Diceros bicornis minor: one gene and its partners. The protein of the gene in region 3 purifies or fractionates together with the protein of the main gene of each other region. This does not show direct contact. Links are inferred from orthologs where the notes say so. Each region holds a gene or a part of one and is shown on either strand. Other genes may lie near its edges.

Region 1 (10,453 bases), on a different chromosome or scaffold from region 3:
AGGAATAAGGAGACTAAATTTTGACCCGTCAGTCTGAGAGGCACCACGTGGCCCCCTTATACTAGACTTAATCCTGTTAATCCTACCTTTCTAGATTCTTCACTGGAGTATCAGACTTCCTCAGCATTCCTTCCTCTGCTCTTTTCTCACTCCATAGCAATGGTTCTCAACAAAGTAATACTTCACCTCCCCTCCACAGAGGGGTTGGGGAAACCAGTGAAGTGTTTTTGGTTGTCACAAAAAGGTGGGGCTGTGCTATTAAGTTTCAGTGGATAGGCGCCACGGATGCCAGACAGCGATAGTCCCACACAATAGAGAACTCCCCCTCTCACTGAACACTCACATAGGCAAAAGGCATGTTTATAATTATCTGAGGACCTAACACCTCACTTTGTCAGTCTTAATATACCCTAAAATTTCCAGTAATGCAATTACCACGTAAATCGAGGGAGAATTGTTTTCTAGTGGTTCAGAACTTGACTGAGAGTTGTTTTCTCTTCCAGATAAATTACGTCTCCAACATCACTACAGTTTTTGGCGTATTGGTAATCAATCCCACACTGCTGTGTCAGTCTGCATTTGTAGTAGTGATTCTACACATAGCTGTCAGCATCTGCCTACTTTACTGTGTCTTCCAGTGTAGACATTCTCAAGCATTTACATAGTGAAAGACATTTTATTTTGCTATACTTACTTTTCTCTTCTTTCTCCTTTATGTCAGTGATAAGTCATTATATATGATTTTTAAATTATGTTTTAGATAGATTATATTATCTATGATTATCATTTTGGAATAGTAAGGGGTAGTGTTACAAAGTATTTCTCATCAAAAGGGGCTGCAGCATCTAATATGGTTGAGAAAAACCGATCTACAATATAGTGGTTAGTGATCTGGGCTCCGGAGCCAAAATGCTTGGTTTTACCACTTACTATTTAGGTAACTTTGGCCAAGTTAATTATTGTCATCTGTAAAACGGGGCTAACATCCTCCCTCATAGGGCTGTGTGAGCACAACAATAACGATTAGTTAATATTTGTAAAGCACTTAGAACAGCACATGACTGGCACATATTAAGTACCAAATAAATTTTAGTTAGATAAAATAAATACGGTCTCTCCAGGAAATCTTATGCATGTTCATGTCTTCAATTTCCATTTATACATTATTGCAGAAAATTTCCTAAATTTAAAAATATTTTGAGTGAGCTTTGCCTAAAAAAATACATGTATATCTCAACATGGTATTTGGTAGAGCCTTAGGAGAAAAGAATGCTTTTCTTTCAAGTACATAATTTTCCAAGTATTAGGCTAATCATTCACCTTTCTCAGGAAGACAAAGAAGAGAGGGTTGAAGAACATTTATGTTCTGGTAAAATCAGAAACCAACGGAACGAAAAACCCAAGGAAGAAAGACAAGTGGCAAAAAGGTTTTAAGTTTAAATTTGTACAGCCTCTGTTTCTTATTATGGTCACTAAGAAGCAACAAGAAGCTTCCTAAGATAGTTACAGATTCTTCCTAAGCTATTCCATAGAAAGTTACTGTAGGAAAGACATTTAATGTTATATACAAATTCTCGAACTGTAAACCTCAACCATGAGGCAAGGAAAATACTCTAATATTCACTTAATCTAGAAAATATGCCTGTTGTAGGAAATGGCATTTGCTTACTCAAATGAGCTGTGTTAATGAAACCCATTACTCTACAGAGGACCTTGTTTCTGGTTTTGTTCCTAATTGATTATGCAAGTAAAATAAAAATGGTGGCTCCACTGGATTTAAAGCCAAATACAATAGGAAGCCTGTTTTCATTCACAATGAGGACCCATAAATTTAAACCTCCAGCCTGAGACCCCTCCTTTGCTGTTCCCTGGATCCTGAGTTGGCTGCCCCTCATCCTTCAGCTCTCAACTGAAGCTTTACACTGTCAAAGAAACCCTGTTTGACCACACAATCTGTGTCATCTTCTTTTGTTTTACACTTTCTTAGAGCAACAGTTCTTTCCTTCTGTGCACTTGTCATAATTTTTACTTATAAGCTTTATAGTTTTCTTAAAAAAAAATCTGTCTCCTGCATTAGACTTAATCCACCAGAAAGGTTCCTTACAAGTGCCAGAGAACCAGGCCCTAGTACATTTCCTAGTACATAGCAGGTGCTCAATAAATATGTGTTGCCCGGGGGAAGTGTCATTTTGGCATTCTAGGGTACACAGTTGAGATAGGGGCTAAAGATATGAATGTGAGAGTCATCTGCATTTAGATAGTATTTAAATACAGGAGAATGGATGAGATCACTCATTCTAAGGAGAAAGTGGAGATGAGACAGGGAAAAGTCTTGAACAGAGCCTTGGGGACCTCCAACATTTAATAGGCATAAAGCAAGAGATGCTGGCAAAGGAAACAAAACAAAGGAATGGCTAGAGAGGTAAAAAGAAATTCAGGAGAATGTGCTGCCAAGACAGCCAGGAAAAGAGACCTTCTTAAGAAGGTGGGGGTGGGTAGTTGTGGCAAATACAGCTAAGAAATAAATGAAGATCAGAATAGAAATGTTACCATTGAGTTTGCGGCTTCTAGGTCATTTGTGACCTTGATAAGAGTGATTTTGAGGGAGAAGTGAGGGATGTCAGCTTAGAGTGAGTTGGGAAAGGAGGTGCTGGAAGCAGCTGGCGTAGAACACTTTTTCAAGAAGCTTTGCTGGGAAGGAGAGCAAAACAATGAAGCTGGAGAGGAATGAAGCATCAACAAAGTTGTTTTGGTTTTGTTTGCATTTTTTTTTTTTTTAGTGGAAGTTACTAGAATATGTTTGTATGGTGATGGGAAATATTCAATATAAAGAGAGATTAATTATTTAATAAAGAGAAAGAATGACAAGAGGAGAAGATCCCTTAGTAGGTTCCTGATAAGGAATCAGTGCTGATCTTATATTGTCATTCTTCTTTGACCTACCCTTATGCACCAAGTTTAAGTAAGAGATCATTAAAAAGTGATTAGTTTGACTTCATAATGCAGCCCTGAAGGGGTCATATGGGACATGTCAACCACTCTGGAAAGAACTTCAAGAAATTCTATCTCCTCAGTTTCCCTGGGGCTGGGAATTAGTTCCAGTGTTTCTCAACCTTGTGTGCTATTGGCATTTTGGTTCAAATGCTCTTGTGTCGTGGGGGACTGTTCTGTGCATTGTAGGATGTTTAGCAGGATTCCTGGCCTCTACTCACTAGATAACCGGTAGCATCCAGTTGTGACAACCAAAAACCAGCCATTGCTAAATGTCCTTTGGGGGGGATGTGTGCAAAATTGCCCCAATTGAGAACCACTGAGTTATTCAAACCTAAGAAAGTCTAACAACAACAACAACAAACCAGCTAATCTTACCTGTGTAAATGTTGATAAATACTACTGTTTTCATTGCCTTATGCTGTTGTGGAAAATTATTCATGAACCTGGTGTGAAAGCCTATTGTGCTATACATACATGTTAGTATTTTTTAACTCCTAAAGAGATACTGTAATATAATTTTTAACATTTTAGTAGAAAGAACAATAAAAGAAAACCAAACCAAATACATGTATGGATGAATCAACCTTAGGGATGATGGCAGGAAAAGGAAAGTCACTAGCATGTATTGGTGGTCCCTACATTTTATATTTTGTAAACTTGATTTAAAAAAACCTTTTTTCACATGCTCATTGTATAAAAATGAAACAAACAAAAAACCCCCCAAAAGCCAGATACATTAAGAGAAGAAAATTAAAAACCTCATAATGTCATCAGTTAATATTTTGGTGCATATGCTTTAGGACTTTCTGTGCATCCATCCATTCATTTATTCATTAACTTATTTATTACACATCTCCCTCAAAGTGGTTAGGAACCAGGCAGTGAAGGCGATTTTGTTTTTTTTTAATGGGAGAGATTTGGGCATGTTCTCAAGCCAGTGGAAGGACCTATTTAGAAAGAGGAAAATGGTATGATCCATAGAGTGAGGTTTCCGAGAAGGAATGAATTTTAAGCAGAAGAGGATTTATCTTTAGGAAAAAAAAGCATTGTGAGAGGATGGAAAAAATACACACATATTACACAGGGATATATGTATCTTATTGTATCTACATGTATGTATATTGCTGTATCTACCTGTAGGTATGTAAGCATCTTGTATCCACATGTAGGTATTATTTTTTAACTTTATCTACACGTATGTATCTTACTGTGTCTATATGTTTTTTTACCATGTGAGCCACTTTTGGTACCTGCTTTTTCACCTTTTCTACTGTAACCATTTTCCCCATTCCGTTAGTCTTCCTCCACATCATTTTTACAGTATCCTAAGGCATACCAGGAGTTCGGTTTTTAAGGCCACCTCCTAATGTTGGACATTTTAGCCGTTTACAGTTTTTACTATCATCAATGCCCGGACTTGATATCTTGGCGGTGTAATATTCGCAGATAACTCAGATTATTTTCTGAACAGAAATTCGGGCAAGTGGAATTGTCGAGTCAATGGTCTGCAAAATTCGGTAGATACAAATCGCTTTTAAACCTCACCGCCCGCCTCAGGTACGCATTCTTTACCTGCGGAGGAAACAGAGAAGCAGGGAGGTTAAATAATTGGCCCAAGGTCAAAAATGATTAGAAGTGGCGGATTTCAAAAGCCGGAGCGGGCTCATCACCCTGCAGCAAGGGTAGAATTTGCGGTTTAGGCGATTTTTTTTTTTTTTTTTTGATGTGTGTGTCAGTGGGGGAGGGGCCGGGTGGCAGGGAAGGAAACTTGTGTCGCAGCAAAGAAGGAGGAGGAGGGGAGGGACTCGAGTCAGATCAGAGGCGGCCGCGGCGAGAAAGGCTGGGCTCGGGGCTCGGCGGGCCCCCCAGCCGCTCCGCGGGGCGCCTCGGAGGCTGTGAGGCCCGCCAGGGAGGTCCGGCGGGGGGCCGCGCGCCGCGCCCGGGCGGTTGCCAAGGGCCTGCCCCGTCTGCGGGTCCAGTTGCTAGGGCCTCCATCTTGAGGCCGCCGGCCGCGGCGCCCCCGGAAGGGGTTGCCGAGTGGGGCATTCACTTCCGGTCTGAGGCCTGCGGCGGCTGTGGCGGCGGCGGCGGCGGCGGCGGCGGCAGCGGGTCGGTGTAGAAAATGGCGCTGGTGCAGCGGCTCGGGCCTCTCCCCGCGGCGCTGCGGAGGGCTTGAGGCTCGCGAGCCTCACTCGCCGCGCCCCACTTGCTCGTGCACTTTACACACATGAGGTGAGCGGGGCGGGGGCCTCCCTCCGGGCGGGAGGAGCCTCGGGCGCTGCCGCAGGGCCCGCGACTGGGGGCGGCGGCGGCGGCGCCGGGCGTCCCGGGGACCTCGGGGCTTGGCGGGGGGCGCGGGCGGCGCCGCTGCGGAGGCCGGGCGGCAGGCCCGGAGGGGCCGCGCTGCGCCGCTGGGGCCGGGCCGGGGGCTGCGGCTCGCCCGCGCCGCCTGCCCGCAGTCCGGGCTGCAGCCCCGCAGCTTTGTGAGCCCCCCCGGGCGCCCCTCCCCTCCCCCATCCGGCTCCGGCGCGAGCCTCTGCCGCAGCAGCTCCGTTTTCACGCGCATCTCTCACTCTTTCTTTTCTTTTCTGTTCCAGAGAATTGGAAGCTAAAGCTACCAAAGACGTAGAAAGGAATCTTAGCAGGTAAGATGGGCGAGCTTTCCGTCTCTCGCCCCGTTAATCGTGTATTTCCACTCTGGTTCGCCCTTTCTGGGGTTATAAGTTCCCCCGTGTCATTTTCTTTCGCACGCAGGGGACAGGCATTCGGGAGAAGAGGCCAGAGGGAATATTGGATGGAGGGATTCCGGGGAGATGCGTAATTACGCGTGTGTTCCTTTCTTTGTGGGGGGGGAACAGCGAAAAGCAATTCTTGTAAACTTAGTTAAAGCATTCTTACCCTTTTAGAATTTAATTAGGGGACTTGTGCATTAATTACTATTGTAAATGGTTGCAGGCATTGTGTGACTCATGATTGAGGCGGCCCTTATGGCGGGCTGTCAAACTGTTTTGGCTTCCCCGTTATTACTTTGTAACTCAAATTGTTGCCCTTATAAAAAGATACTATGTGTTCGCATTTTTTTCAGCACATTGTAGTCAGGCGGGTTCTGTTGCAGTGGAAACAGTTTTGCCCTTGAACTTTACCAAGCATAAACTGTTTTGTTTTTTTTTTTGAAACTACGTTTGTGTCTACGTTCGATGTGTGCCCTTTTAATAGCCGGTAAAATAATTAAAAACCTGTTCCCATTAAGTGGTTATCATTGCTTTTGGGCCTGAGTGCTTTTGCACTGGTATCTTAAATCATCGCCACAAAGGGAGTTTTTTGTTTTTTAAACGATGCCTTCATGGAAATATTCAGCGTTATTGAGCTGTAATTGCTTAAGCATCAGGGCATTGCACTGGATTTAACTCTTTTTCACATTCATGTTGTCTTACAGTCTTTTCCTTTCTTATTCGCCGTTTTCTTTTGCATCATATTGGGACACTCGAGAAACTTCTAGATTAATTTAATCAGTGAGCAGCTTTCACTTGGATAGAATGAAATAAAATTTCTCCTATCTCAGTTCTTAATATAATTTGTGCTTGATGACTGTTTTTAGATTTATGTTGAGGTTTATTAACACTCACAAATCAAATCGTCTGGTTACTTTTCACCACATAGAATCATTCCAAATTGCTGGTCTTTTGAGTTTTATAGATATTAATCTGTTAAGGTGATCATTAAAGAATCTGTTTGGTTGGTGAAGGATGGGCATTATTGGCTTACCAAATAAGAGATTTTTTTGTTATTCAGAATAATTATGGGATCATTTAAAGGAAATTAACCCTGACATCACTGACTAAGTAACTGTTCATTGGACATTTAAGTAAGTTTTATTGTCAAAAGTTATTAAATGTTAAGATATGAAACCATGAAAGAAAACAGGTTGAGTTTTTAAGGTGTAATTTCAGCAGCAGAAAGGAGCTTGGAGTTTGGGTCTGTTTCTCCTTCCATTTTTGCTTTGTCAGGTAATTGTATCAGTATAATTCCTATGGAGGTTTTCTGGGACTTAATTAAAAATTGTGTCTACCACAGGTATAATTTTTATATACTATTACAGTTGGATAGAACTTGGAGTTTCTGTATCGGAATTTGAATCCCAGCTCTGCCACTTACAATATGACCTTGACTCTTGGCAAATCACTTAGCCTCTGTGCCTAATCTATAAAACAGAGGTTTGGGCCAGCCAGTTGCAAAGGTCTGTAGGCCCTTGGGTTATGTAAAGGGAGTCACGGGAGTCATATAAAAAGGCCACAGAGAGCATGTACAATCTGGTAGGCAAACTAATAAGTATTAAATAACTAATACAAGGTCAGTGATGTAGGGATCAGAAGAAGATACCATCCCATTGATATACTTGAGGATCTTCAGTTGGTCAGAAGGAACGAAAAGGAAAAATAAGTGTCAAGGAGGTTACAAGGCAGTGTGTACTAAGGACCATGAGAGGGGAACATTTCCTAAAGGGTGAAAGTGTTCTGAGGAGGGAGAGATGTGATTAGGTGGGCAACTGCTTCCGTTCAATTCTCTCTAGTTCTATGCTTCCTTTTTCCCAGATAAGAAGAGTATATCTGTCTTGACCCATTCGTGCTCTCCCCAGGAAGTCAAGGCATTATTTTCCAATAAACATTTCTTGAGCATCTTCCATGTTCCAAGTGCGAGACTAGGCACTAGGGAGGGGAAGAATGGCAGTAGCTAAATTTATTGAATGCTTCTATCTGCCTTGACACTCTTTTCTGAAGACTTTACATGGACTCATCTGATCCCTGGAACACTGTGTGAGGTAGGTACTATTATCCTTGTTTTATGGATGAAGAATTTGGGACACCAAGAGGTTAAGGAACTTTCAGGAGGCCACACCACTGGTAAGTAATTGGAGGAGCTGTCGAGCTTTGAACTATATTGTATTGTCTCTTACTAGAGGCGTGGTTCTTTACATTGAAAAATTTGAAAATCTCCTTGGGGAGGCAGAACCCACAGATACGTGCAGTTCTTCTAGATCAGAGTTTCTTACCTGGGTACTGTTGATATTTTGGACCAGAAAATTTATTGTTGTGAAGTCTGCCCTGTGCATTGTGGGATGCTGGACAGCATCTGCCAGTGGCACTCCCCACCCAGTTGTGACAATCAAAAATGTGTTCAGATATTGCCAGATATCCCCTGGGGGGCAAGAGTCACCCCCAGTTGAGAACCACTGTTTTAGATCTTTACATTTCGTGAAGATAACTGAAGATTTGGATTTTTAAGGTGAAATCTTTAAATGTTAAATTAATTTAAACTTTTTTTTGGGGGGTGGGGGTGAGATCAGCCCTGAGCTAACATCCATGCCAGTCCTCCTCTTTTTGCTGAGGAAGACCTGCTCTGAGCTAACATACATTGTCAATTCTTCTTCTTTTTTTTTTTTTCCCTTTTTCTCCCCAAAGCCCCAGTAGATAGTTGTATGTCATAGTTGCACATCCTTCTAGTTGCCGTATGTGGGACGGACGCCGCCTCAGCATGGCCGGAGAAGCGGTGCGTCGGTGTGCGCTCGGGATCCGAACCGGGTCTGCCAGTGGCGGAGCGTGTACACTTAACTGCCAAGCCACGGGGCAGGCCCCAATTTAAACGTTTTAATACCATGAAAGTCCAAACTCTATTTTGTGGACCGCTAGTTTGGAAGCTCTGTCTCTGAATATCAGAGATGTATTTCCATTCTCCTTTTCCTCTGCAAAGCTGCAAATCCTCCTCAAGACAGTGTGCCAGGTAGCCAGTGCCATTTAAACAAAATTGGCACAAAAGATAAATTTAGTTTACTACCCTAGGTAAACTCTTTCTTAATTCACTGTTGGCCATTAAAATTGTCACTTTATAGTCAGTGTCATGGGTGTTCAAAAGAGGGAACTATAATGTCTACATGGGAGTTCTCACCGTTGGAACTGAACTTTAAAGAATGGAATCAATTTTGAAAAGCAGAGAAAAGGGTAGTGTAAGAAGAGGAGCAGAAAAAAGGCACAAAATCCAGAAAGTACAGGGAATTTTTAAATAGCAGTGAGTAGTTCATTGGATTGGCATATAAAGTTGGGAGCAGATGCAGAGGTTCTTAAATATCAGGTTGAGGAATTTTTACATGAATCTTTAGATAGTGGGGAGCTATTGTATGTTTTTGGGTGGGTAGTGATATGATAGAATAATGATAACTAGTGATCTAGGCAAGACCTGAATTAAAGTGGTGGTAGGAAAGAGGGGCGAGTGTGAGATACTGGGGAAGTAGAATCTGGGATTTGGCTGCTGACTAATCTGGGATTAGTTGTGAGAGGAGTCTAAATACACAGGGGTCTTGGGTGAATGGGAGATTGACCTAGCCTCTGAACAGGTCAGAACAGAAATAGGACTTTCTGTAGAGAAGGTGATGTTACACTTTCCAGTTGTAAAAAATCTCTTCTAGTCTAACTCAACTGATGTAATTTTTAAAAATATTTTGGAGGCCAAAGCTATAGAATCATTGAGTATTTAGAGCTGGACCATGACATTAAATAGAGACTAGCCAGTATTCTGACCCTTTCATTTTACAAATGAGAAAGCTATGATTGAGACAGATCCAGTAACTTAGTCAAGGTTATATTCTCTAACAAGTGACAGAGTTGGGATTCAAACAGGCCTTTTGGCTCATGATAACTATAGGGTTCTTCCAACTATGCAGTATTTTATTTTATATTGCACTATAGAAAAAAGAAAACTTTAGCTTCTTTCTTTCTGAAAATGTAAGAACAATGATCTTAACCATATTTTGTGCCCATTCTGGTAATGAATTTACTGTAATGTAGGGTATATTATTTAAAGTAGAAGTTAACATGCTTCATGTTATGCTGATTCTTTTTTTCCCCAAACTCAGTTATTAAATGCCATTATACAACAACAGTTAAAGATGATGTAGTACCATATAATGTAGCATCTAAACTGGAACACCTTTATCTGAGACTCTTTTGCCTGGGACAAATGCTATTAAATAAGAAAAGACTAGGGACGACAGGAGTAAACCAGGGCATTCGTTTTCTCTAGATGAGGTGGACCCTGCTCTTGAAATTCATCAACCTTTATCTGAAAAAAAAGTTATCTTCTGATTTCGTTAAGCTTTTCTGTTGCTTTCCTGTGATACGGTTAGTAGGCCAGCAAATTCATATTGGTAAGTTTCTTTCTAGCTTAATTTGGCAGCTTTGTGGTAATTAATTGATAGAATAAACGAATCACAAACTGTAAGCTTAATTTTAAAATGTGTAACAACCCTCTGTGGCAAATTTAAATATAAACATCATTAAAAAATCTGAGATCCATTGTATAACCTCTTGTGAATTTTGGCATCTGAAGTACGTCTGCAAGTATAAATTAAAGTCCTTACAGTTCTGTTTTATGACAGCCTCAAAAGTATTGCCCATGATTGGGGAGA
Region 2 (10,648 bases), on a different chromosome or scaffold from region 3:
ATGTTTCCTCTAATATTCAAAACATGCATTTTTGGCAGAAATACTACAGAAGCGACGCTGTAGCACCTGATGTTGATTTGTCCCATCACAGGTGACATTAATGATCAGAGACGAATCTGGATGGCCCTGGAGGCTCCTTTCCGTCCCTCTTTTCATAGCAGAGCTGAGAGCCCGCTAAGCTGGACTGAGTAGGTCTGCAGAGAGACCAGACCTTGGGCCAGTGTCAATATTCCTAGTGGGCAAGGCTGTCCCCAGGGCCCTCTGAGCAGACCTTGGCCCTTGGTGTGCTTACTTCCTGGCACTCTACCTGGGGTTTCCTTTGATGTATTTCTTACTACTCAGAGAAACTAGGAATTCCCTAAGCCCAATTAGGCTAACATATAAATATGTAACACAGTGTGGGAGTGGGGCCCACTTTCCATCCTGGGCTCTGGCTCTGTCTGTTGTACACCTGGCTGCTGGAACCTTGGCCACAGTGCACACACAGCAGCTATGCTTGGCCTATGCCGTGCAACAATTTAAGTTCAGGGGGCAGCATGCACTCTGCCACTTCTCTGCATGTAAGTTTCCCCCCAAAAACCCCATGTGGCACCGGTGGGGTGTGTGTCTGACCCTTGCATGACAGTTAACTTTGAGTACTCGAGTAAGGTGGTGTCTGCTAGAGTCTCTTTTGTCAAGTTCTCATTTTTAAAATAAGAATGTTACGGGGACATGCTTTGAACCTATGCAAATATCTCATTCCTTGTCCAACTTCTACCCACTAGATTTAGCAAATATTGCTATTTCTTGTCTGACGATTGCCAAATGGTGACTTTCTAATTCCATTATTCCTTCTAAATTTATTAGTTACAGTCTACTCTAAGGAAGAGCTGTCTCTTTTCCCCATTTATTTATTCATTTTTAAAAAACATCAGTCTGGACTCATGGATTCTATTTTATTCCAATGGAATATAATCTCTTACTATCATATTTTATTTTGATGCTCAAATTTCCCAGATTTGGCCAGTGGGAGCCCCTTCAAGCTGACTGCTTTGTCCTTTTGAAATGTCTCTATCGTTCTTTGAGCATTTTCATACTTTCTGGCACAATAAGATGTTCCAGGCTCCTGTATATGATACTTCTACGTTTATATTTATTTTTATATCTATATATATTGAAAACTTTGAATTCACATCAATACTTCTAATTCCAATCCAATCTCTCAAGCCTTCTTGCTTTTCCCTGTTCTGTATTTGTAGCCCCTTCTCCAACAGTGAGAACTCTGGCTTCCATTATCTTCCATATAGTTTTTTCTTTGTGTAGTCCCCCTGTAGATGGCCACCTACCTTTGCAGGACAGCCGCCCCACCTTCCTTGTTGGGGCTCTGACTCCACACGGGGCTGACTTCCTAGCTGAACATGAGGGTGGCTATATTCTCCTATGTAGATGAAAAAGCAGAATCAGTCAGTAGAGGGAGATACACAGATGAAGCAGAATCACAAAAAAGAATCACAGAAGGACAGAGAGAGCAACTTTTAAGTTCCCGGAAGCTTTCCAATTCTTGGTTCCAGTTATTTGCTAAGATGTACCTGTATTCCCGCTCCTGGCTTTTGTGAGAAGCTCCTACATCCTTATGACAAACTCTTCCCTTTTGGTTAAGCTACTTCATGATGGTTTCTGTTACTTGCAAACAGAGAGTCTTAAACAAGGTATATTTATATCCTGGAATGTGCTACAAAAAATAAAACAAATTGTAGAAATAATCATGGCAAAGGGAAAATAAAAATTAGCACACAGAAAATGCATACCACATGGTACTGTACTGTTGCTTAACATGAGCTGAAATATTAGCTCCAAGATTTCTAGTGATCCATACAAAGTGTGAAATGTTATCCTTTACAAGATTTTATGTCTCCAGATTTAAAACAAACCAGCAACTGGAGCATGGATAGACCATTGGAACAAAATACAGGGCCTAGAAGTGAACTCTTCAACAATGGCCAATAAATGGCAAACTGTGTAGCCATCCAGAAAAAAAATTAATTTGGATCCATACCTCACCCCATATATTGAATCATTTCCAAATGGATCAGTGTTTTATTGCAAAAGACTGGAAGTCTAAATCTCCATCAATAGAGAATTCGTTAAATAAATTATAGCACATCTCTGTAATAAAATGTTATGGGGATTGGGGGGCTGGCCCCGTGGCTTAGCAGTTAAGTGTGCACGCTCCGCTACTGGCGGCCCGGGTTCGGATCCCGGGCGCGCATCGATGCACCGCTTCTCCAGCCATGCTGAGGCAGCGCCCCACATACAGCAACTAGAAGAATGTGCAACTATGACATACAACTATCTATTGGGGCTTTGGGGAAAAAAAAGGAGGAGGATTGGCAATAGATGTTAGCTCAGAGCCGGTCTTCCTCAGCAAAAAGAGGAGGATTGGCATGGAATGTTAGCTCAGGCCTGATCTTCCTCACACACACACACACACAAAATGTTATGGGGATTGAATAAAATAGCAAGGAGCTCTGTATATATTGCTGTAGACATATCTTTTTGATATATTAAGTAAAAAAAGCAAGGTATAGTATACGTGTATGGCACACTATCACTTTTGTAAATGAGGAACGTCTTGGCTTGTATATGCATAAAAAAGTTCTCTAGAAGAAGGAGCAAGAAACAATGGTTACCGTTTGAGGCATGGGGACAGGTATGGGGGAGATATTCTTTTTACTGTATACCTTTTTATGCTTTCTGATGGATACACCATATGTATGTACTACTTAATTTTTTTATTGAGGTAACATACGTTTATGACATTATATAATTTCAGGTGTACATCATTATATTTCGACTTCTGTATAGACTACATCGTGTTCACCACCAAATGTCTAGTTGCCATCTGTCACCATACAAATGTGCCCCTTTACCCCTTTTGCCCTCCCCTCACCCCCCTTCCCCTCTGGTGACCACCAATCCATTCTCTTTATCTATATGTTTGTCTGTCTGTTGTTTTTTCATCTGCCACATATGAGTGAAATCATATGGCATTTGGCTTTCTCCATCTCACTTATTTCACTTTGCATAATACCCTCCAGGTCCATCCATGTTGTTTGAAATGGCAAGATTTCATCTTTCTTTATGGCCAAATAGTATTCCATTGTGTATGTATACCACATCAACTTTATCTATTCATCTGTCAATGGGCACTTAGGTTGTTTCCAAGTCTTGGCTATTGCAAATAATGCTGCAATGAACATAGGGGTGCATACATCTTTTCAAATTAGTGTTTTTGTGTTCACTGGATAAATACCTAGAAGTGGAATAGCTGGATCATATTGTAGCTCTATTTTTAATTTTTTGAGGAATCTGCTGTTTTCCATAGTGGCTGCACCAGTTTACATTCCCACCAGCAGTCTATGAGGGTTCCCTTTTTTCCACATCCTCTCCAACACTTGTTATTTCTTGTCTTCTAGCCATTCTGATGGGCATGAGGTGATACCTCACTGTGGTTTTGATTTGCATTTCCCTAATAATTAGTGATGTTGAACATCTTTTCATTCGCCTGTTGGCCATCTGTATATCTTCTTTGGAGAATCTCTGTTCAGATCCTCTGCCCATGTTTTAATCGAGTTGTTGTACCACTTATTTCAAAAATTAAAAAAATTGATGAAAATCAGACAAACCTGCTGATGGAGAAACCCAGCTGATCTTGACAGACTGAGGCAACAGCAGGAGGGGATGCAAGTTTTACCTGCCCACAAATTTCCACTGCTAGTGGACCGTGGTGCCTACCCCCGCCTTGAGATGCCATCCTTCTCATAAAGGATTATCTCCCAAAAGCCTTTACGCATATGACTGGGGAGGTCTACTGCCCACAGTGCTTGACATACAAGAAACATTATTTTTACGGAGGTCTGCCAAGAGCATTCTGACTACTTCCTAATTTTGCCCATGAACATTCTATGTTTAGGTGAAACTTCTATCTGACCAATTTACAGTAAATATATGATTAAAATTTGATCACCGCAGTGACTGAATACATCAGCCCTGAAGCCAGACTACCCGGGTTCAAATCTCAGTTATTCACTTAGTAGCTGCTTACCTGATGGAGGTTATTAATTTTCTTCATCTGTTAAAACAGGGGGCAATCACAGCACCTACCTCACAGGCTCCACATAAAGATCACAGGCTTACACTACCCTGGTCAATTCACGCTAGCCACCTAAGACATTAAAATTTTTCTATTACTCACATTAAAAAAAATGAAACTAGATTTATCCCAATATATCAAAAACATCACTTCCACATGTAATCAATATAAGAAGTTATTTGTGAGATGTTTTACATTCTCTTTTGGTAAAGAACACATACATCTGAGCTCCAACTAGCACGTCTCAATTAGCACTACCCATATTTTTAGTGCTCAGTAGGCACACGGGGCTAGTAACCACTGTATGGAACCGCGCAAACCCAGACAGTCTGGGGAGTAGGTGCCAAGAGCTAACTCTTACTAGCAGAAGTATGGTTGCTGGTACCATCCCTCCTCTGCAGTAAACCAGTGTATCACTGAGTCCTCTGGCAGAGCTGCCTACACTTTGGGATAAACTAACAGGACTTTCTTTAAGCTAGTCACCTAATTGACCTCCAGGTTTTAATTCACAGCTACAAGGTATGGTACACGGTTGCGACCCCAGCAAATGAACGACTTACATAACCGGGGCCGCTGTCCCCATCTCGTTTTCTGGTTATCCCTGTTCCGGGGTGGGAGTGGGGTGGGGTTTGTCGTCTCCCCAATTGCGGAGGGCCCTGCACCACTAACGCGGGGGACGAGCAGGCAAGCGGGAAGGTCTTGACAAAGTGAAGGGGGGAGTGGCAAAAGGGGCGCGCAGCCCTCGGGAGAACAATCACCGCCGGGGGGCAGGGCCACGTTTAGGGGGCGGTGGGTGCCAGACGGGCAACAATGGAGGCGGGCGAATGCAGAGAGCCAGGAAGTTCTGCCAGCCTGCGAGCGTCCGCCGCCTCAGCGCGCGGGGCCCGGGGGCTGCAGAGGCGGCGGGCGGTGGGCGGCCGGCTCCAGTCCCGGCGCTGGGCCGCAAACGCCGCCTGGGCCTCCGCCGCCCGCGTCCGCTGTCTCCCGGCTCCTGAGTGGCTGGGGGGCCGGGGTTAACCTTTCACCGCCGCGCCGCGTCCAATCACAGGCCCGCTCTCATGCCGGCGCGGGCGAGCGGAGCGTGGGGGCGCGGCGGGGCGGCGCGGGCGCCGGTGGGATTCTCCAAGCGGCGGTGCGCCGTTGCCGCGGGCCGTGCGCGGGCTGCGGGCGAGCCGGGCGCTGCGCAGTCTCCGCAGGCGCCAGCGGGAGGGGTCGCGGCGCGGCGCAGGCGGCTCCAGGCCCAGGTGAATGGAGTAACCTGACAGCGGGGACGCGGCGACGGCGAGCGGGAGGAAATGGCGGCGGCGGCGGCGGCGCCGGGCGGCACCGGGAGGCCTGGGCTGTGACGCGCGCGCCGGAGCGGGGTCCGATGGTTCTCGAAGGCCCGCGGCGCCCCGTGCTGCAGGTGAGGCGGGCTCCCGCGGAGCCGCTTTGTGTCGGGGCGGGGAGCGGCGCCGCCCGGCCCCGCGCCCGCCTCCACGCCGAGGCCCGCATGGGCGCGCTGGGCCCGCGCTCCGGCCTGGCCCGCGGGGGACACCGGCGCGGGCCGATGCGCGGCCTCGCCTGGTCCCGGGCGGCGCGGCCTGCGGGGTCGGGGCCCCCGCCGGGCTCTGCGCCTCCCCGACCGCGGCGGCCCTCTGGGTGGGCGCTGTGGAGGGACCCCGTGCGCTCGCCCGGGCAGCGGGTGGGCACGCGGACTGGAGCCTGTCCTCCCCGCTCGCCCGCAGCCCGTGGAGAGCGGGGCTCTGACGGGTCGGGTGGCGCACCGAGAGGTGCGGAGTGCGCAGCGGCACCTGGAGCATCCTCGGGCCCTGCCCTGCTGGGGGCCGCTCCGCTGGGCCTCCGCGGACCCCTTGGAGAGGGCTGGGAGGGAAGGAAGCCGGGCTGTCGGTGCTGGCAGGAAAGCGCGAGCTTCGGGGCCCGCCCGCGGAGGATTGTTCGTGTTTATTGGCAGGTGACCAGATCTGGGTCCCACGGGGCGGGTGGCCGAGGCCATCTTTCCGCCCCTCCCCTCCGATGTTTTTGTACCCAAACGCCTGGACCCTGCCCAAGGAGCCTTTCTTAAGGATTTTTAATCTTTAGGAAATCAGTGTATGTTTTAAGTTAGACCGTGAGATTTCTGTAGATTGTCTAGAAAAGCTGAGCTGCCCCGATGGCTTTGCCCGCAGCACGGAGCTAACAAACCACTTAATGCATCTTTAATAGCCTGAAGATTTGCAAAAACAGATGAGTGGGGACTCCTGGCTCTATGGTGTTCGGTCAGTGCTTTTGTGGGGAAGTCGTGCTTAAAGGGACACGTTACTGACCCACAAGATAAGTCTAAGCGTTCTTAGACTTTCACGGTTTAAAAACATTCATCTTATTCAAGAGTGTTACTTTGAAGTCTGTGTCTTTGAGATGCTTCTGTCTTTGGATTTTCTGAATCTTGACGGTTTTGATTTTCAGTTGTCTTCGTGTCGCTTGTTTTTCAAGTACAGCGCACTCAGTGAAGGGAAAACGGCAGAAGTTAGGAGTTAAGAAACTTGGAAAGTATTTTTTAAAAAAATGCTTTAATAAAAGGTTAAGTTGAAAATGTGTTGGTGTAAACATTAAGTTTTCTAAATAAAAATACCCATCTTAACCAAGAGCTCCAATAATTTATTGAAGGATGGATGATGGTACAGGATTCTGAATGAGGCTGCTAGTAAGTTGTAATTTTAGTATCACTAATATCTTTGGAACTAGCTAGGTTCTAGAATAATCTGTTTATTTTGCAGAGTGTCTTTATTTTGCAGAGTGTCTTTAAAGCTAGCTAGCTACCTGTGGCACGTGTATATTATGTGTCATATGTGCTGTATATACACACACACACATAATTGTTTTGAAACTTTATTTTAGGCCATATTTTATAAAACTGTCTATAGATTAGAAATACTAAAAGGTTGCTTTTAATAGGGTCGCTGTAAACATTTAAATTGGTAATTTTGGTTCATGGATTAATTCATGGCATCAAAATGCTGTTTTAAGTAAAGATGTATTAGTTGAATTTAATTTGGGGAGAAAAGACCGTCTTTTCCTGCAGTTATTTTAGTAAGGGCTTGTTTTACTTTTTATGCTCTCATCTCATCACTGAAGGTTCAGTTGTCTGCTGTGCTAGGTCTGAGGCCCCGTGTGTGAGTTGTATAACGAGGCGGTTTTGCCGTTGCTGAGTTTTGTTGTCTTGGCTTTGGAAGGCTTTTATTTTGATGTGGTTCATGATTCTTGTTAGATGGTGATGTTGTGGTGTTACATGGTGGGTTGTACTTTTAGAGTAGTGCTGCCTTCTAGGAAGGATGACTTTTATGGCACTGAGATATTTATTCCCGGCCACTGTCTGACACAGGAGATGCTTGTTTTGTTTGAGAAAGTAGGTTTTTCATAGACATTCTCTCACTTGTGACCTTAGCTTCCTGTGGTCATCACTGTGGCAAAGGAGAGAATGATAACGTTTATAAGTGCCTGCTTATTATGTGCCAGGATGTTTCAGGTGCCTCTATATCCGTTCTCATTTAATCTTCATGGTGACCCTGAGACAAACTCAACACTGTCCTTATTGTACACGCAAGGAAACTAGGACTCGGAGATAGTTGCCCCAAGTTATGGTTCTAGAAGTGGCAGAGCCAGGATTGAATCATGGTTTGATTTCAGAGTCCTTGTGTTGTATTGCATTGCTATTCCAAGTGGATTTTAGGGGAAAACCTGCATAACACATAGGTCAGACCTTAGCTAATACTTGTTGAATAAGTGAAACTGTCTACCCTTAAATGTTCAGGGGACCTCTGATTATCTGAATAAGTCAGATTTTTTTTTTGGTGGTCAAATATACATAACAAAATTTACTGTTCTAACCCTTTTTAAGTGTACAGTTTGTGGCACTAAGTACATTCACATTGTTTTGCAACCATCACCACCATCCATCTCCAGATCTTTTTCATCTTCCTCAGCTGAAGCTCTATTCATTAAACACTAACTCCCCATTCCACCCTCCTCCCAGCCCCAGGTAACCACTCTTCTGACTTCTGTCTCTATGAATCTGACTACTCTTGGAACCTCATATGAGTGGAATCATACAGTATTTGTCCTTTTGTGACTGGCTTGTTTCACTTAGCATAGCATCTTCAGGATTCATTCATGTTGTAGCATGTGTCAGAATTTCCTTTCTTTTTAAGGTTGAATAATACTTCGTTTTGTATATACGCACACCACATTTTGCTTATCTGTGTGTCCATCGATGGACACTTGGGTTGCTTCTACCTTTTGGCTATTGTGAATAAAGCTGCTATGAACATGGGTTTACAAATATCTGTTTGAGTCCCTGCTTTCACTTCTTTTGGGTATATACCCAGAAGTGGTCAGATTGTTTCTTGATCATCAAAACACTAGACTCGGCATTTATTGCAATATGAGTTTTTTCAGGGCTGTTTCAGATAGTTATACTTTCCTACAAACAATTCCTCTGTGTCAGTAAAAGACCTTAATCTCCTTGAGGCCCAGGATTTACTCTTTTTTATGATCTCAGTTCCTCTTAGTGTTTGGCGGGTAGATATTCAGATAACTGGATTTGTTCAGTTGATCATCATGGAGCTGTGTTGGCTCTGTTGCATGCTGAGGAAGGCACCAGTAAGGTCCGCGTTGAACTTGTGCAAAAAGTGAGTTGGAGCCAAGTGGCTTATCCTGTTTACCTTCTGCTCTGCTTTTTAGATGTTTAGGAGTTTAGCTCATTCTAAAAGCCCAATGGATGCAGATGTTTTATTATTTGTCTACTTCAAGAAAGGATTTGAGATGGTCATAGAATAGGTGTTTGAGAGGACTATGAAAATAAAGGTAAAGATTGAGGGGTAGAGTGGAGGGAGCTGCAGGGAATTTGATGAGGAGCTTGGGGAAGGATAGCTCAGCATCTGCTGTAACTCAAGGCTTTTTTAAAAAAATTTTATTAGTCAAAGCAAGAGAGGAAACAGGACTAATTATAGTTGGCATTGATGAATGAAAGGAAGTATACCAATTAATCAGGAGAAGCAGACTTTTCTCTCGTATGAAGAATAAGAGTTTAAATTCTTACATAAAATGACATTAACAATATGTGGAGAAAATGTTTTACATTTTACAGTGATAGAGAAACATTTTTCACGTGCCATTTTAGAGAAACTGGATAAAAGCCTCAGGCATAATAGAAAAGCTTTAGTAATAGAGGTGTACATTGTTCTGGTGACTTGAATTATTAGAATTTAGTTAGTTTATCTTTCATATGCCGTCTGTCAAATACCAATTGTCTCATTCAGGCTTTTGCCAGATGCTGGATAGGAGTCCATTCACAGATGCACTCCTTTCTGGACGGTACAGGCTGTCAGGGTTTTCCACATTCTCTCTGCCCATCCTTAGGAATATGTGCTGGTCTAGAAAGTAGGACTCAAGCACGATGGATGAAAGTAGGACTCGAGCACGATGGAGAGAAGAGCATTATTTTTGAGGTCCAGCTGCTGAAATTGAAGTTTTCAGTCAAGAAAGAAGGCCTTTGTTGAAATAAATTCTGAGTACAAAACGGCTTTCCTGTTTATCTAAAATTGTCAGTGAATTGTTGGTTCTCCTTCAGTATGCAACGTTGCTGTACATTTTAAATAAGTGGCTGAGAAGATGCCACCAGGAAACATTGTCTGAGGATGCCGGTAAGACTGTTATTAGAAATAATACATGCAAGTCTTCAATTTTGGCCTTAATGTTTTGACTTTTGAGGCTCAAAGTGCCATTCGGTGTCTTGGCTGTGTTAAGGTGTATAGAATAGTAAGGATAGTAAGGATGGAACAGGACAGTGCCTGGCACTAGAAGGTGCTCAGGTTTGTTGAGTGAATAAAGTAGTTTGTCTTTATAGCACTTTCTGCAGTACTGTCCTGCAGCGCTTATTCATGGGGATACGTTCTGGGAAATGCATTGTTAGGTAATTTCGTCGTTGTGCGAACATCATCGAATGTACTTACGTAGCCCACTACACACCTAGGCTGTACAGTGCTAATCTTATGGGGCCACTGTCTTATATGCGGTCTGTTGTCGACCGAAACGTCCTTATGCCATGCATTACTGTACTAGAAACTAACACAGTTTTATGGAGAATAATATTGCTTGTATATTAAGGCTTTTGAAAAGATCATTACTGTTCGGGTTTTGGACAGATCATGCTGCCTGGTTCTCCATTTGTGAGGTACATATGATTAGGTGCGTAGAAACATTGTGGGCTGAGAGGAGTGTTAAGCATTCTGTAGAAGAAGGTTGCTGTAAGAGTTGGGAGTTTTACTGCCACTCTAGGCTTTCTCATTGTTGAAGCAGGCTACCCCTGATAGTTGTGGTGGTGGTTCTTTTTTAGGTGACAGCTCAGTGTGTACAGTGAAGTAGGGATTTTGAAAACACATTTGGAAATTCTTTTGGGCATTAGAAAATGTCAGCAAACCAGTTCACAAGTTAAGAGATAACGTACTTAAAGAACTCAAATAATGAGAGAAGGATCTC
Region 3 (10,379 bases):
ATAAAACAAATTCCAGAGAGTTGAAACTGTGGATTTTATGTAATCATAACCTCACAGGGCCTCCATTTATTCTTCATTCAACAAACATGCAAAGCGCTGTGTCCAGCAGCATTTGGGGAAAGAGGTCAGGCACGGTTCAAAAACGAGGAAAACAGTGTCTCTCTCTTTAAGGAGCTTAAAGTTTGGTGGGGGATATGAGTAGCCAAATGGTCCCCTGGTATAGGAGAGAGATGATGAGGGACTGAAACAAGGCTATAGGGCTATAGCAGTGAAGATAGAGAGGAAAGGGCAGATTTGAGAGACACTCAGGCGGTAAAATTAATAGGACTCAATGGATGATGGAAGGAGAAGAGAGAAGTAGAGGCTAATGCCCAGGTTTCTGCTTGAACAAGTGAGTATATTGGGATGTTCCTCTAACCAAGATTGAGGGAAAGGGGAAACTAGAAGGAAGGTGATGAATTTTGTGAATAAAGACAATTAGCCTTGTATAAACTGAATTTTGAGCTTCCCATGGGGCAACGAGGTTAAGGTTTCCAGTAAACACTTACGTTTTGGTGCTCAAGGAAGTCTACAAAACTGCAGTTATAGATATGGAATTACTCATTTGGATGGTAGTTACAGCCATAGGAATCCACGGACATGCACAAGATGGCTTAGAAAAAGAGTAGAGCAAGAGAAACATAGTGTACAGCTCTAGGAAACACAATTTAAGGGATGAGGGGGGGGAAGCAGAGCCTAAGATGACTGTCAAATAACTAGTAGAGACCTTGTATATATATATTTTTTTGTGTGAGGAAGATCAGCCCTGAGCTAACATCCATGCTAATCCTTCTCTTTTTGATGAGGAAGACCGGCTCTGAGCTAACATCTATTGCCAATCCTCCTTTTTTTTCCCCAAAGCCCCAGTAGATAGTTGTATGTCATAGTTGCACATCCTTCTAGTTGCTGTATGTGGGATGCGGCCTCAGCATGGCCGGAGAAGCGGTGCATCGGTGCGCGCCCGGGATCCAAACCCAGGCTGCCAGTATCGGAGCGCGCGCTCTTAACCGCTAAGCAACGGGCCGGCCCAAGACCTTGTATATTTTTGACTGATTTAATAAGGTGGGAGAAGAATCGAGAGAGTGAAATAGGATCCAAGAAGGGCGTGATTAACAGCATGAACTGCAGCGAGAAGAAGGTATTTTTTTCTATTTAGTTTACCATCCTCCTCCCATCTTCTCTGGGATCTTATAACTATATGGTCATTCTCCAGTATTTCTTGAAAATAATCATTGGAAAAACCTAATTTAAATAAGGCTAGGACTAGGACTTCCATGTCGTTCACCACAATCACCACCACCACCTCCACCTCCCTCCTGTCCTCAGGAGATACTTGTAAAAGAATAAAATAAACAAACCTAATTTTGTTCCTAACTAGTGTCATAAATGGTGTTCCAGTGCACTCAATAGCACTTAGCAGCTTGCTCTATTTATTTTCATGACTTGTTTTCCCCAGAGCCTGTGAACTCCGAGGAGTGGAAACTACATTCTATTCATTTTTTTCATCTCAGGGCCATAGCATATATATCAAGGGGTCAATATTTGTGAATAGAATTGAAATGAGCTAGAAATATGTGGTTCATGAAAACAGAGTAGGGGGAATCAAGAAGTGATATTGAGTGCACAGGATGGACTCAGCATTCCTGAATCTTCAGGTAAGCAGAAATTTAACTAGATTACCATCATTTCTCACTCTCACTCCAACTTGGAGGCTCTGTGGTTTTGTCCCGTAAGCTGATGGTACAGTTGTCAAGCATGTAAGTTCTGGCATTCCTCCCTGGTACTGCTAGAGCTTGTTATTTCTGTGTACTGCTGAGGAGATGGCTCAGAGAAGGATTCTGGCGTAGAGCCCAGTGAGAAATTTTCAGTGGCAGCTAGTGTGTACATAAGTGCCTAGCATTCCTCTGGAGGCCAAGTGTTGTGACTTTTCAGATTGCAGAACTAACTTATGGCTACCACCTGCCAGATTCCCTTGGGAGCAAGCCAGCCAGACCCATGCTCCTTTTCAGCAGCAAGAGTTAATGAGGTTGGTTGAACTTGAAGAGCAAATTGGAACATGAAGGAGATTTTTCCCAGTCGAAATAAGACTTAAAATAAATTTATGACCCTTAATGAAGCAGAAATAAAGTATTTAGCAGAGGGAGTGGGAGGATGCTCATTATGGCGTATTTTTGCCATAAATTTTAGAAACTTTTTTTTTTTTTTTTTTGATACGGAAGATCAGCCCTGAGCTAACATCCATACCAATCCTCCTCTTTTTGCTGAGGAAGACTGGCCCTGGGCTAACATCCGTGCCCATCTTCTTCCACTTTATATGGGACGCCGCCACAGCATAGCCTGACAAGCGGTGCGTCAGTGCTTGCCCAGGATCCAAACCCCGGGCCGCCAGCAGCAGAGTGCGAGCACTTAACCACTATGCCACGGAGCCGGCACCTAGAAATTATTGATGTTAAAAGGTTTCAGGATTTGGCTGTTGGTTGCTACTCAAGAGAAAAAGATGGTGAGAGCCCAAGGCCTGATTTCTCTGGTCCTGGAGCTCAAGGTTTTGAGTTAAGGCTTGTCCTAGTACCCCTGGACATCCCTTTAGTATTGGTTGAGCAGCCTTCCCTTTGTCTTGTCAATTCGCAACATATACTGTAGCACATTCTTGTCTAGCAAGTGCCTTGGTGCAGAGAGAGGCTGGGTATTTGTTGGGTTATCTCTTGGCTTAGCAGACCCCAGAATCTCATGGCAGTTATGGTTTGGTGGCTCAAGGAAAGGGTTATAGTGCAAAGAGAAGACTGCTTTCAAGTTCTGAGCCTGGGCCACCCCCAAGCTGCTGTCTGTACTGCTGAATGGAGAGTAGCATTGAATTGGAAAATTAGCTCTCCCTTTTTGTTTCTGGCTTTCAGGACATTTATTCCTCTGGCTATAGGCTGAGGAAATCTGGCAAGCTTAGAAGATGCACAGAGCATGACAGAAGCATAGATGCTTTAAAGCATCCATGTCAAGAAGGAGGAGCTGGAAAAGTGGACTTGCTGGAGATGAGGTGCATTTAGAAGTTCTCCACTTAAGCACCACGACTGCTTTCCCCAGGACACGATATCAAGGTTTTTTAGGCCACTGTGGCTTACCCTGCAGGAACACACTGTCCTCTTGGCAGTGTTTTTTGGGGATAAAGAGGTCTTGAGGGACCTTTCTAGGGAGCCCTCCATACCTCTTCCCCTCCTTCTTAAGGCAAGGAACTTTCCTCTTAAAAGAGGCAATGGGAGCTCCCAGCCAAGTTTTTGGAAAAGGCCTGTGTGTTGTTAATGGAAGTGAACTGGAAAAGGAGGAGGAAGTTGGGTACTTTGAACTTTTGTACTACATGTTTTGTACAGTATCTATTATTTAATTGCATCTTCACAGCGTTCACGTGACGTAGTTTATCAGTTACCTTCAACTGTATATAACAAAACTCCAATTAAATTGGGTTAAATAAGGAAACTATCACTTGACAAGAAGTCCTGATTTAATATGGCTCCAAGGTTGGTTAAGTCACTGGCTCAATGATAATACCGACAAACCAGGTTGTTGCAGTCTTTCTGCTCTGCCATCCTCTGTGTTGGTTTATCTTCATGCTAGTTCACCTCAGGGTCCCAAGATGACTACTGTAATTCCAGGAAGGAAATGCTGACAGAAGGTGTCTAGCCGAAGAGGGACTAATTTTTCCCAGTGTCTCATTTTAAAGTGAGGAAATCCCTAGAAGCACCAGCAGATCTGGCCTCACGTCTCACTTGCTAGAAATGGATCATCTTTCCACTCCTATTCTGTCTTTGGCAAAGCAAATTAGATTGTCCATCATGCGTGGCTTAGATTAATTAGGAGTTACTCTGTGAGTCATGTGGATTAGAAAGACGAGTCATTTCTGCTAGGCAAGAAAGAAGGGGATAAGGGCTGTTGGCTAGGCATCCAGCAGTGTCTGCTCTGTGTAGGTACTCTGGTTTTTACAGATGAGGAATGTGAGGCTCAGAGAGAGTGACTTTCCTAGAATCACAGATGGTAGCAGAGGGCCTTCTGTCTGAGCTCTGTCCCTAGAGGCAGTATGTTTTATAATGTGTCTGCTGCAGTGCAAAGTAACTTTCTTTCTGCTGTGTAAAAACTGCTGGTCTAGAAGAGGTTTGAATTCGTGTCAAGTTGACTAACTTGAGCCCATGTGAGAGGAGAGGATTCTATCTAGAAGCTCTCCTCATCCAGTGATGATGTTTATCTAGCACAGGAAGCCTAGGAATGCCACTTTCAGAGGGCACTGATTTCCTTGTTCCTGAGATTTCTGTACTATTTCTGTAGGTCTCCCTTCTGAGAGCAACTAGTGCCACAAAGGATGAGGGTAGAGTTTTAGCCTGCTTCCTGAGCCCCGTTTTTGAAGCCCACTCATTTATTCATCCATCCATCTGTCCCACAAATATTTATTGAATGCTGCTATGTGCGGCACTGTTCTAGGCACTGGTGCTATGACAGTTAACAAGATACACAAAGACCCTGCTCTATGCCCCTTAAGAGCAGATTCATTTGGGAATGAGGTTATCGAAAAATACAGGAGTTTGTGTGGTCAGGGGAGAGCCTCATACAACTTCGCTTTTGGCAGAATTATTTAAACTTTTTTGCCTTTTCACTTTCTGATATTACAATTCATGAACCTTCCACATGGGCTAACTCTAAAGAGGCGGCGTCCCTGGGTTGCAGAAATAGATGGGAAGGCATCATTGACATTTATTAAATTGGCCCGAATTAGAGGGTCCAAATCCTGCTTCATCAATGTCAACAAAGAAGCCAGTGGCCTACCTCCAGGGTTTATCACCATCACCATTGGGAGAAGCCAAAGAAGCCTGCAATCATTTCGGGAACCAGTTTCAGATTCAGGGAGGGTTGACAGTGTGATAAACCCTTCACAAGAGTTGATATTTAACCTTGTCAGATGCTGCTACTGACTTGGATTGTGTACAGTCAGGGATTGAAAATAACTAAGATAGAGTGTTTCATCTGGTGACATTTAATTTCAAATATTAAAATTGGGGAGGGCAGTTTCATTCAAAGGGGTAGAGGTGGGAAGGAAAAAGGCAGAATCGGAGTCAGATGTGGGTTTGAATGCCATCCATTTATTAAGCTTTTACTGTATGGTAGGTGCATGTAAGAAGTGCTTTAAAATGGTAACTATAGTAAATACTTTTTTAATTCATTAACATTTAGGGGGGGTTTTCTCTGTGCTTAATGTATATTTCCTAACCTTGCAACAATTGTATAAGATATCTGTTATTCTCTCCGTTTTTCTGAGGAGGAAACTGAAGCCCACAGGTCAAGTGACTGATCCAAAGTCCCACAGAGATTGGGGGGAACCGAAGATGGGATGTTTTTTCTCCTTTTCCTCTTTGTCCCAAGCTTTAAAAAGAGAATCTATTTTGACTTTTCAGAAGTCTAAACAAAATTACTGATACTTAGGGGCATAGGGAAAATTCATGAATCATTCTTCTGCCTGAAAAAAGTAGTATCACCTTTCATTAAGGCAACAAATATTAAGGATTTACTATTTGCCAATTAGTATAATGGCCCTGGCAATCTTATAAAGCTTACATTCTAGTGGGGGAGGGGGCACACAAACTATTAAAACGAATTACAAATTGGGAAAAGGGTTATTAAGGAAATACTGTAATAGAATAAGGGGTGCCCCCACACCGTAGATGGGTGGCTGGGAAAAGGTCTCTCAGAGATAAGTCTGACGTTGGGGTATAAGAAGCGGCGGCGAAGGAAGGGGAGAAGGTGAGGGTAGAGAGAAAAGGAGAGGGTTACTGGCCAAGGGAACCAAAGGCAAGAGAGGCTCCAGGTCGGAAAGAGAAGCGCTTTGCCTGTTGGGGAAATTAAAAGCAGACCAGTATAGCTGTAGCATAGCGTTGAGGGAGTCTTGCTTGAGGAGAAAGGCTGGGGCCCCGTTGCGCCGTGTTTTGGCCCTGGAAAGGAGTTGTGGGTCTTCTCAGTGTGACGAGGCGCTATTCAGGACTTTTAAATATGGAAATTATTCGACCTGATATTTGTATAATGTTCTGTTCCTTCATCTTTACCCAAATTATATTGCACATTTTTTCCCTAAAAAAAAAAAAAGTCAGAGCGACCCTACGGACTTGGAGTGATCAACAGTGGCGGTCACTTGACCGCCTGCTGAGGAGGAGGCGCGTGGGACCGCCCAAACTGGGCGTGGCGGGAGGGGCTCGGGGAGGAGGGTGGCCCTGCCCAAGACGTGCTGGGCCTGGAGGCCCTCTCAGCTGCAGGTCTGGGTCCTGGACCTCAGCAGCCTCGCTCCAGCGGGCTCCTCCCCAGGTAAGCTATGCCGCCTTCTGCGACGTCGCCTCAGGCAGGCACTGCCGTGCACCAGGGTGGCGCGAGGGGTCCTGCCTCTTCGGGTTGTCTCCGGCCGGCACGGCCCAGCGGAGAACCGCTGGAGGGCCGGCCCTGCCCCGCTCCGCCCAGCTCCCCAGCCTCCGGCCGCGCGTGCCCCAGGCTCCGCCCAGGCTCGGCGCCGGCTCCCCGACACCTCCCCTGAGTCTCCGCTCCGGCCGCGCCCGCACCGACGTCGCGCCAGCCCGGCTTGGGGCGGAGACGCGAGGCTTAGATGTCGGGAAAGCCGGGGCAGCGGAACTGACGCCAGCGGACTTCCGGGGGCGGCCCCCGGGGAGGTCGGCGGCGGCGCCGCAGTCGTGGAGGGGCAGTGGGAGCGTAAGCGGCCCTGGGCGACGCAAGTTCCGCACGGGGCTCCCCTTCCTCGCCTCACGCGTCTCCTTCTTCTCGTATAGTCCTGTGCTGCTTCCCGACGGTGGCTCTTCCTGACGAGAGCCTTCGGAGTGCGGTTGCTGAGGAGAAGCCGTCGCTACCCCGCCTCGGGGTTGAGTGAGGGTGCCTGTCGCGCCGCGTCGCCCCCTGCGCCGCCTCCTTGCCCCCAGTGGCGGACGCCCTTCTCACTCGAAGCACTCCCCCCAGCTCCATGAATGGAAATCGGCTCCGCAGGTGAGTCAGAGCTGCTGGCCCGGTCGCTGGGGGTGTCCCCAGAGGCCCGTCGCTCCCTCCACCCTGGCCCAGGTGCGCGAGGTGAGCGCCGTCCGAGCGGCTTTCCCTCTCCGCCCCCGCCCGGCCCCGCCGCCGCCGCCCCGCAGCCCCGCCGCAGTTCCCCGGGGCCCCTGAGTAGGCGAAGCTGCGGGAGGGGACATTGCTTAAAGGATTGAAGTGTGGGGTTCTCTGGGGGGTATTAGCCTTTCGGGAGTCTAGAACGCTTTGCCATCGCTTTTGTTATTCCCGTTGAAGATGTAGCGGTGTGCGTGTCCTTTAACCGGGTTGTGTGTCCCATAGAGGCGCTGGGCGACCAGCCCTCTCCCTTGCCCCTTAAGCTAGTTGTGGAGATACGTTGAGATAACGGAGGAGACTTAAGTTTGAAATAGGTATTAGAGCAACGTCAAATGCAAGATGGCATTTCTTCCGTCCCCGAGTTCTCTCCTGATGTTTGTGGCAGCATGGTATATAGTTCCTGAGGATCTTGGAAATGTCATATCAGCCTGGATCACTGCTTGTGTGAGGAGGTGGATCTTAAAATTGCTGACAGTATATTTTTTTTCATTCCCTGTTCTCTAAAGAAGCAGTTGTCATGTTCCTGGAAATTAAGAAAATTGCTTTCTCTGCTTGGGAAAAACGGCAGTCTTGAGAAAAATTGCAACATGGGCAGTACTTACCTTAAAAAAAGAAAGAGCACTCTTTTATGGTTCTAAAGTAATTAATTGAGGGACGTAAAGTAAGTGTTACATAACGGTTTGCTTTCCAAATCGTCATGCTTTGTATGTTAAATTTGAAAGTATGCTTCATCTAGACAGTCACAAACTTATAAATTAATTTTCAGAATATTGGGGGGGGTGTCTTGTTACTAATGGTATCACAAGTCCCTGAATTTCACATCTGGTTTTGCCAATTTGGGAGGTACCTAAATATGAGATAAGAAAAACTTACATAAAAGAAACCAGTGACATAATGATGATAAAGAATTTGTTGATTGGGTTAAGGAGTATAATTGTTAAGTAGATACGGAAAGCACTCAGAAATTGTAGAGATGGGATGGGGAGAAGAGTTTATTACAAGTTTTATTATATGGAATTTTCTTTAATCAGTTTATACCATTTCTCTTTCGCATTCTCCATTTTTACCTTCATTTCTTTGTAGAAGAGAAAGCTTGTCTAGGTTGTGAAGAGTTTTAGATTCTCATTTTTTATCATTGATTTGTGTATTTCTGAAACTGTGTCCTGCCTTTGTTTTTCAATTTTCTACTATACTATTTAGGAAACGTGATGATTCGGGTCTATAGGTGATTTTTACATAACTGTCCTGTTGTCAAGCCCGGAAAACAAAACATGAAAGTTAAACACTTTATTAATCATCCTAAAACTTTTAAAGGTATTTCAAAAAAATTTTTTTAAGTTTTGTTTCTTTTTCTCCTTTGGGTTTTTCATATGAAATTATGCCCAGATATATGGACAGCATCTTAGAAAATACTTCTGAAGTCAAACCACCTAGCCAACTGGCCCACCTAGCCAAGTATGATTCAGTAAATGCTCCTGTGAGTTCTTGAGCTACAGATAAGTTTTATCTCTTCTTTTTGCATGTACCATTGCTGAAATATATACCCACTTAATTGTCTTCACATATGGGGAGGTATAGTTAGAGTTATCAACCATATGCTTGGGCATCTTGAAACGCAAAATTTATTCTTCAGTGCAGTTTATACATGATTGACTGTAATGTGATGATAAAGATAAGTATAATTTGGCTCAAGATCATCATCATCGAAAACAAAATTTCCATTCTACCTGATACTTACATGTAATTGTTATGCTGCACATGAAATTGAAGGCATAATTGGGAAAAATGTGCAACTAAGTTTTAAATCAAGAATTTGACAGATACATATTTTGGTTTAAAAAATTTTAGATGTAAATGGTCTCTAATAGTGTTGGATCTTACTCCTCCAATTCTGTTCTAAGTTTTTCTTTTCTGTGGAGATTCTTAAGAATCATCTTGTAACAGGGTATTTTAAATTCTAGTTGTTAGGTGGATACATAGAAAACAAATTTATTTACATTAGAAGACTTCGAATACAATTACTTTATAATTGTTTCTTGGTGAGTCATTCCTCACTAAAAATTAATATTTATTCTTTCCTTTTGCATGAAATATTTTAAGTGATTTTTAAGGGTGTCCTGTACAATCTACTGATTTAGTATTGTGTGAACTTTGATGTAACCAAAAAAGCTGGCACAATTGGTTTTTAAATAATAATAATCAGTAGTTTAGCATCTGTGCCTATGACTACTTAGGGGAACTTCTGATGAAACCCTATTTGTTAGCTGGACTAAGAGTATATGTTGTTTTAGTTCCAAAGAAAGTGGGAATAGAGAAAGCAGAAGTATTCATTGAGATATCACTTCTCCTGAGTAGCTGTTTTTTAGGATTGTACTATTCTAGTCTGTATTTTTGGGTAAAGTCAGACTACTGTTTAGGGCAAAACGAATTGTACTACTTACCAATGGAAGAAAAACATTTACTTTCACCTTAAATTAATGATATGCAAATTGATTTGACACGTTTGGTAGTTGTCTTATATAACCTTGCAAAAGTGAATAGACTGTTTCTTAGTTATACTCTTAAATTTGTGCTTGAATATAGTTATTTTAAGGCTCTGCATTTCTTTTTTTTTTTTTTTTGTGAGGAGATCAGCCTTGTGCTAACACCTGCCAATCCTCCTCTTTTTTTTTTTTTTTTTGGTGAGGAGATCAGCCCTGAGCTAACATCCACCAATCCTCCTCTTTTTTTTTGCTGAGGAAGACGGCCCTGGGCTAACATCCGTGCCCATCTTCCTCCACAATCCTCCTCTTTTTTTGCTGAGGAAGACTGGCCCTGGGCTAACATCCGTGCCCATCTTCCTCCACTTTGTATGGGACACCACCACTGCATGGCTTGCCAAGCGGTGTGTCAGTGCTCGCCCGGGATCCAAACCGGGGAACCCCGGGCCGCCGCAGCAGATCGAGAGCACTTAACCGCTTGCGCCACTGGGCTGGCCCTCTGCATTTCTTTAATAATAAAAATTAAGAGAAGTCATATAAGAACAAGTTCCAAAGAAACAAAAATTGCATGTATGGAAGGTCGATTTGAATGAAGTGTGGATAAAAGTGGGTTCAAAATACTAAAATATATAATGCCATTAGTTTCTCAGTTTAGTATTTAATTAATTAATTTTTTGTGTGTGAGGAAGATCAGCCCTGAGCTAACATCCATGCTAATCCTCCTCTTTTTGC

The links. The genes of interacting proteins can lie anywhere in the genome.
Region 1: the proteins of AGO3 (region 3) and TNRC6A purify together in Homo sapiens (affinity purification with mass spectrometry; 7 studies listed by BioGRID and IntAct, with this or other methods). This does not show direct contact. The link is inferred for Diceros bicornis minor from reciprocal best matches to the Homo sapiens genes AGO3 and TNRC6A.
Region 2: the proteins of AGO3 (region 3) and DICER1 purify together in Homo sapiens (affinity purification with mass spectrometry; 3 studies listed by BioGRID and IntAct, with this or other methods). This does not show direct contact. The link is inferred for Diceros bicornis minor from reciprocal best matches to the Homo sapiens genes AGO3 and DICER1.

What each region holds. Positions count from the first base shown.
Region 1 is NC_080765.1:27,282,263-27,292,715, reverse strand, and holds the start of TNRC6A (trinucleotide repeat-containing gene 6A protein), read left to right. Parts: upstream 1-5,097; 5' UTR 5,098-5,221; coding exon 5,222-5,226; intron 5,227-5,591; coding exon 5,592-5,639; intron 5,640-10,453.
Region 2 is NC_080763.1:40,754,980-40,765,627, reverse strand, and holds the start of DICER1 (endoribonuclease Dicer), read left to right. Parts: upstream 1-5,292; 5' UTR 5,293-5,537; intron 5,538-10,648. UniProt on the Homo sapiens protein: Double-stranded RNA (dsRNA) endoribonuclease playing a central role in short dsRNA-mediated post-transcriptional gene silencing.
Region 3 is NC_080752.1:50,186,481-50,196,859, forward strand, and holds the start of AGO3 (protein argonaute-3), read left to right. Parts: upstream 1-6,302; 5' UTR 6,303-6,369; intron 6,370-6,688; exon of another isoform or gene 6,689-6,842; 5' UTR 6,843-7,030; coding exon of another isoform or gene 7,031-7,034; coding exon 7,035-7,053; intron 7,054-10,379.